Linked DNA regions of Macaca fascicularis. The protein of the gene in region 2 interacts with the protein of the main gene of each other region in a biochemical or structural test. Links are inferred from orthologs where the notes say so. Each region holds a gene or a part of one and is shown on either strand. Other genes may lie near its edges.

What was found.
Region 1: the proteins of GNAQ (region 2) and PLCB1 form a complex in vitro, tested with the Homo sapiens proteins (2 studies listed by BioGRID, with this or other methods). The link is inferred for Macaca fascicularis from reciprocal best matches to the Homo sapiens genes GNAQ and PLCB1.

The regions. Positions count from the first base shown.
Region 1 is NC_088384.1:79,171,826-79,175,742, forward strand, and holds the start of PLCB1 (1-phosphatidylinositol 4,5-bisphosphate phosphodiesterase beta-1), read right to left. Parts: upstream 2,826-3,917; 5' UTR 2,439-2,825; coding exon 2,340-2,438; intron 1-2,339.
Region 2 is NC_088389.1:108,365,063-108,368,702, forward strand, and holds part of GNAQ (guanine nucleotide-binding protein G(q) subunit alpha), read right to left. Parts: intron 2,651-3,640; coding exon 2,460-2,650; 3' UTR 1-2,459.

The DNA.
Region 1 (3,917 bases), on a different chromosome or scaffold from region 2:
TGTAAGGGCAAATATGAGCTGAGAAGAGTAGATGAGGGATGCCTGGGGAGGAAAAAGGCAACCCTAAGAAAGGCTGGGTCCCTTGTAGTCCACTGATCAGCATGAAGACCCAGAGAACCAAAGAGCCTGCAGTATAGCTCATTATATTCCAGATAACTTGACTCCTGAGTGCAGTCTAGGTTTTTTTTGTTTTGTTTTGTTGTTTTAAAAAAAAAAAAAAAAAAACACCTGAGATTCTACTGGCCTTCTCCTTAGTGCCTACGTCTTTCCTTCCAGGAGGGCTTCCTTGGAAACTCATTGCTGCAATGCTCAGAGGGAGCTCTTTTCAACTTCTTCTTTGGTTGGTATTTCACGAACATCCTCTCTATTACCCTCAATGCATCACCCAATCTCTCTCTCATTGGTGTTTTGATGATTTTTGTCTCCTCCACCTAGCATGTAAGGTCCACAACAGCAGGGATTTTGTCTACTTTTTCACCACCCCAAGATCCAGTCTAGGATTGGCAATAATAGGTGAGCAAGAAATACGTGTTACAGAAAGGTACATAATGAAAGTCATCTACCTGGATATATCAAAATGTGTTTTCATAGAATACTTTCATTCTCAACGTGATGTTGGCTATTTTCTCCAAAACAAGAAATTATAGAGAATTATTTAAAATACAGTTTAGAATCATCACTGTATATAAATCCAGAGCTTATGCTGAAACTCCCTTTTTAAATTCTGCAAAGTCTCTTTCTCTTCCTTCTGCCCTTCACTCTCTTTCTCAGTAAATCCGTCATCACATCACCTCTCTATTCAAGGATCTCAAAATGGGCAAGACTGTCTTATTTATTGCTGAACTGCATTTTCTTTGTCTTTTTTTTTTTTCCCCTGACACAAAGAATTTAATCTGCGTCTGAATTTATTGTTTAGATTCTATTCCATTTACAAAAACATTCAGTCCAATTAGACTGGAACAGAAAGAAGAAAAGTGTGAAGCCCATGGTAAAAAAGATGTATGTTTACATCCTTGCCTACAGCATTTAATAATTGGCATGAGCTTTCAAGGAAGCTGTGGTTCATACTCCAAGTTCCATTTGCGCTTCCAGCTGGACAAAATATAGACACAGACGCACTCAGCTAAGTAATTGGATTCACTACCTGGAATATTTAAATTGTTTTCAGACACTGGAAAATGGCTTAAGAAGATTAAAGAAAAATACCCTAGAGAATAACAGGCTATAATTTACTAGGTGGAAAATCTTTTCGGCAAGAAGAACGCCTCATTCTCCTATAATTCCTTCTGATTAAGAGATGTATTAGTCATTTGGACTTAAATTTCCTTAGAACCTGGCAACTCGGATTTATTTCGGTAGGTTTTTCTTATCGAACCTTTTGAATGACACCCAGGACATAAAATTGATGCCATAATGCTCTCCATCAGAAGATTCGCATGTTTTCAGCTGGATGACTAATTTATGTGTTTTGAAGACAACTGGGGTAAAGGGGAAGGGGAAGTCATTTGAAGTCCTGGGGTCTGGGCTGCACGTAAAGCATTAGAGACCCTGGCGCTGGGCTAGGCTCTGCCCTACCTGGCAAATGGTGCAGGTAAGTCCTGGGGCAACCCCTCAACGTGTCTATTTCAGGCAGAAGACTCCAATCAGCTCAGTTCTCAAAAGTCAGCCCTCTCCACTTGCCTGCAGGCCCGTGAGTCCTCCAGGACCCCTCAAGGGCCCCCATTCTGTTCACGCCCTCCCCAGATGTGTCCCCGCAGCCCTTTTCAGGGACCCTCACTCCGGAGCCAGGCGCTGAAGTTTGGCATCAACGACCACCTGTTGGCTGGACCGTTGTGTCCTCCGCCGCGTGGGCTCCCACAAAAGCGCTAAGAGGGTTCGCAATCACTAAGTGTTGTGGACTTCAGGCCCTTCCTTCTTGAAATCGGGCAAAAGAGGTAATAGGGGGTGCGTCCGCAGGCAGAGAGGGACGCGACTTGTTCACACCAGGCGCTTTCCAGTTGGTCTCAACTTCACACTCCCTACTTCGCGAACTTTCAGGACCTGTCACCAGGCAAAGCTTGCCCCTCCCTCTCCACTGGCCCAAAAGATTTAAGACCCTCAGGGGGCGCTTGCCAGACCCAGAAAGGATGGCAACTACTAAAGCCCGATAAAACAGGAGCGCGCGCAAAGCTTCTGCCCTTGGACATCCGCTTTGGCAGATGCCAACCTGTGCGCCCGAGGCGGCCCCTGCCCGCTCCCAGTGCGCCCATTGCATAACGCGCCCCTCGCCCCACCCCCACGACGCCCGCCCTGCCCGGTGCCCGAGCCAGCGCCCCGACTCGGGCCGCCCCAATACTTACATCATCCCACTTGACGAATTTGATGCCCTTCTTGAGGCTGTCGGACACGCACACGGGCTTGAGTTGCAAGGCGTGCACTCCGGGTTGAGCCCCGGCCATCTGGGCTCATCTGGGCTCCGGGCGGCCCGGGCGAGCGCGGCAGGGACTGGGAACCGCGCGCGGGGCGCGGGGCGCGGGCTCCTTTCTCTGCTCCTGAGGCGCTCGACTCTTCTCCCCCGCCGGCCTCCCCGGCCTCCCGGCCTCCGCACCTCCCTCCGGCGCCGCTCAGCAGGCAGAGCGCGCGGGGGCGCAGCGCCGGGCCATGCCCCAGGCGGGACGCGAGGTCGGGAACCCGCGGTGGATGAGGAGCCTCGGAAGGCGAAGAGAAGCCGAGCCGGGCAGCCGAGGCTGCCAGTCGCGGCGGATTCTGCTCCTCCGCCGCCGCCGCCTCAAAGCGCACCATTCAGCACATCCTCTATACACAGAGGGAGAGAGAGAGTGACACACGCCCGGCGCCCCCGCTCCGCGCTCTTTTCCCTCCTCCTTCCTCCTCCCCCCACCCCCTTCCCCGCCACCCTCGCTCGCTGGGTCCTTCCTTCCCCCCGCGGCTCCCAGCCCAACTTTGCACGCTGGGTCAGGCGCCAGGAAGCGGGGATGCAGCGGCACCTCCTGGCTCCTGAGCCCCATTGCAGCCAACGCCTGCCTCCCGCATTCGCTCTGAGCATGCCTGGTGCCCTGGTTGCAGGGGTGTTAGGGGTCCCCAGGAGCCTTACGCTCTTTGGGGTTTTCTTGGGAACTTGGGCTCGAGTTCCGGAGCGTCTTTGGATCCCAACCGGGTGGGAAAAGGGACCCATTCGGAGGAACCGGAGGCAACCCGCAGCTTTCAACTGTAGCTGGAGCACTCCAGCGCCGGCCACAAACCAGCTTTTTTGAGAAAAGAATTATCATTTATCAGCAGAGACGAGCGCAGCTGAGAGGCTCTTTGAGGAAACCTCGCCACGGCTGAGAGTTTGCAGCGCGCTGATCTTGAAACCTGGGCAAACGGTTACTTTGCGCTTTTGAGATAGAAAGACCACCCTAAAGAAAGCAAAGGTTTTATTTTCCAAGGAAGAAAGAGGATCCCCTCTCCCGCGCCTCTCCTTGAGTATGTAGGATGTGAAGCGGGTCGGGGAGAGTCTTACTAATAGAAACTTGCTCATTTAGGAACGTAGGTCCAGGAATGTTTGTCTTCACTCCTTCCACAAACATTTCTCAATTCAAGCACGGGAGGGAGGGAAGAAGGGAAAGAGGGGAACCAGAATGGATAAAATTTTAAAGACTGATAATACCAAATGCTTGAAAGGATGTGGAGCAACTGGAACTCTCGTTCATTGCTGGAGGGAATATAAAATAGTAAAGCCACTTTGGAGAACAGTTTCTAATAAAGTAAGATATTTACTTATCATACAACCTAGAAATTCCACTCCTAGGTATTTGTGCAAGAGAAATTAAAATGCAAGTCCACAGGGATTTGTAAAGTGATGTGAATAACTTTCTTCTTAGTAGCCCACATATGTCAATCAACGGGTGAATGGATAAACAAACTGTGGTATGCCCAAA
Region 2 (3,640 bases):
CATCAGAGAGGTAATACTAAACTGTGCATTTGCCAAATAAGAATATGAATTGTATAAAAGCTCATATTCCAATCCTAGATCAAATGGCAAAAGTTCTACAAAGTTGGTTTCCATGTTTGTATAAAAGCTCTGACTGATTTTATGTATTTTGCTATGAAATTACCTTTGGGTCTTATAATCAGTATACCTCTACTCAGGAATGTGCAAATGATTTTATACAGCACGACGCTAGTACCGCTCTGTACGACAGTAAGGTTTTTTTTTTTCTTCTTTTCTAAATGGAAAGAAAATATCCCTAGTCAGAAATAAACTGACAAATTTACATTCTCCTCTCTTAAAAAAGTAAATAAAATAACATTATTCAAAATGTGAATTAGCTATAGACATACAATACAATTACATAGATACATATCAATACAGCACATTCAATCTGCCAAAAAATTAATGATTACAAAGCCAGTATGGATGCTGCAATATCAAGAGAGATGTATGTACAATGATTAGAGCATTTGTAATTGCACTATACCTACAGGCAGTCTGCTTGTTACATTACAGGTGCTTTCTGAGCAAGGGAAAAAAAGTAACCTGTGTTGTTTGAGGCTGGGAGAATCAAGAATGAGAATATTTCATTACTGTTTGGTGGCTTTGGTACTCATCTAACAGGCCGTTAGTTTTCTCCCTCCCCCTTTGTTGTTCCAAAAGAGTGATTTATATGGAAGTTTAGACTAGTGCCAAATACCACTATAGTTAAAATGAGACCAGTCTCATGGCCTAATTCTAACGTCCCAGCAGCTTTAAACAATCGTGATTTATTTTCTTAAATTTCAACTCAAGCTGCTTGACAGAAGCTCGTCAATACGTGTGCTGTATTTTTTTGCATTTGCTGAAAAATTGCACATATAGAATTCCAAACATTTCTCCTAGTAGGTTCAGTTACACAAATACATGTTCTATAGAACACTGAGAGGTTACTTTTGAGTTAAGTCCACAAATCTTCTGTAAGTTCAACCTAATCAGTTACCAGTTCAAGAAGATCTTGAAGGTGGTTAACCAGCAGGAACTTCAGATTTTGGAAATTAAAGGTGTCAGAATAATACTATCAACCAATGTTCCTGGCAGACTTAATTGAACTTAAAGAACCATTGAGAGTAAAACTGGTTTCAAATAAAGAGACATAAACAGATTTCCTGTTAAACCACACAGGATACTTTTTACATTGCCGGTTTGGACACTGAACATGGGACGTGAACACTAACAATGTCATCTTAAGGACAAATAAAAGAATGGACCGTGAGAATCAAATTTACAGTTACCAACTGTTTGGCAATTGGCATTTCTGGTTCATTCTCAGCCAGTCATTTTAGGCTTCACAGTCTTACTCTCTTACATTTTAAGATACCAGCTTTTATTTTTTGAGTTCTTATTCATTTTATTTGAAAAAAAGCCAGCTTTGGCAACACATTCCCATAATAAAAGTCATTTTAAAATTGTGGCCCCCAAACACTAAGAAAAAAAAGGAAGGAAAAGCTTAAACAACAACAACAAAAAAATTAAGAACAACCTATAAAAAGGTTCTGGGTAGCAGCCATTAGGGTAATGTAGTGTCTGTTGGCATCTTTTTTGGCATCTGCAATTGAAAGAGAGGGTGAAAAAAAGAAAAAGAAGCAAAGAAGGGAGGAAAGACAATGGCACGTAGCATTTCAAAAGAAAGGACTCCTGTGTGTCTTTGATCCTGCCTTCTGCACATTTCTCTGAGCAATCAAGCTATGGCTGAAGGTAAACATCTAAAAGAAATGACACTTACTGTTAGACGGGCATCCATTGTCCCAGTCCAAAGTGAGACAAGACAGTACATTCTATTAAAAAAGAAACTATGTATGTATACAGAGCAACACATTTAAAACCATAGTATTAATACATGTAATCCTTCAGCAAAAACTACAAACTTAAATTAAGCTGATGATGGCTTAAATCGAACGATGTGTCCTGACTGTATCATTTGAGAGAAAAACTTGACCAAGAATGGAACTAGGATAAAGGTCATTGTATCTTGGGAAAAAAATCAGGAGGGAAGTATAAATTAGGGGGGGAAAAAAAAAGGAAATCAGCTTTGTTTTGCTCCATAGAAAAGAAAAAGAGAGAAAGAGAGAAAAGAAACAAGTCTTATCTTTGTGAGTGCATGACTGAGAATTTAAAATACATTGAGTCACAAGGTTTTGCCTAAAAAAAAGATAGAGAGGAAATGTGCTGGGACTGTACTTCAGCATCCTCTGTTTTTCCTCTGAATAGTTTAAATAAAATCATAATATTTACTACAAACTCTGTGGACACGCTCACACAGAGTCCAGGACGGCAATAAATTAGTATTATGCAAATTGTTTTCCACAGAAATACAGTCCCTCTTGTGTATCTTCAATAGCCCACCAGGGAAGGGCAGGGCGGGTGTCTAGGAGGCACAATTAGACCAGATTGTACTCCTTCAGGTTCAACTGGAGGATGGTGTCCTTGACGGCAGCAAAGACAAAGCGGATGTTCTCGGTGTCTGTCGCGCATGTGAAGTGGGAGTAGATAATTTTGTCACTGTCTGGGTTCAGGTCCACGAACATCTTCAGAATGAATTCTCGGGCTGCCTGGGCATCTCTCTGGGGTCCTTTTGGCCAAGAGACAAGAGGGACACTGTTACCTAATCTGCTAATGTACTCAATTATCATTCGTTCAATAAATACTGTGTCATTGCTCATGAAGCCTACATCTGCACTGCAGATTTGATCTGTTATAATCATTTTCCCTAACACTACTATGTCTGACCATCCACCCACCCACCCACGTACCCACCCATTCACAAACTGTGTATAGGTGAAAGCAGACAGATGACTTGAAGGCCAAGGTTAAGTCTATTTCTTAGCTTGGCCTTCACTCTGATTCCCTGAGTGACTGGGAGCCACTGTAGGCTCTTCATCAGGGGAGTGATAGCTTACTTCTGTTCAACTGAGTTAATTATGCTTGTTTCAGCTATTTAATAAGTGTGCACAAAGACACAGCCTCCTTGGGCTCTCCTGTCAATCTGTCCTCCAAACGACTCAACATTATGGATCATTTTACATCTTCCAGACTGACAATCCCTCTTAGAATAAAACACCTGTTTGTAAGGTCAGCTCTGTCTACAGTGGGCCTCGGTAGTCTCACTTCCATAGATTTCTGGTATTTATGAGCACACTACATTTGTGTAGCATTCAGTTCATTTGTGATGATAAAACAATTGGTTTATCTTTTTTTGAGATACAGTCTCACCATGTTGCCCAGGCAAGAGTGCAGCGATGAGATCTCGGCTCACTGCAACCTCTGCCTCCCAGGTTCAAGCGATTCTCTTGCCTCAGTCTGCTGAGCAGCTGGGATTACAGGTGCCTGCCATCATGCTTAGCTAAATTTTTGTATTTTTAGTAGAGACAAGGTTTTGCCATGTTGGCCAGGCTGTTCTCAAACTCCTAATCTCAGGTGATGCACCCGCCTTGGCCTCCCAAAGTGCTGGGATTACAGGTGTCAGCCACTGCACTCGGCCTGTATTTTCTCACATTGATTTAGGAAGGAGTCTCTTATGTGCCAGGAATTGTCCTAGATGCTTTGAAAAAGAATTGTGATA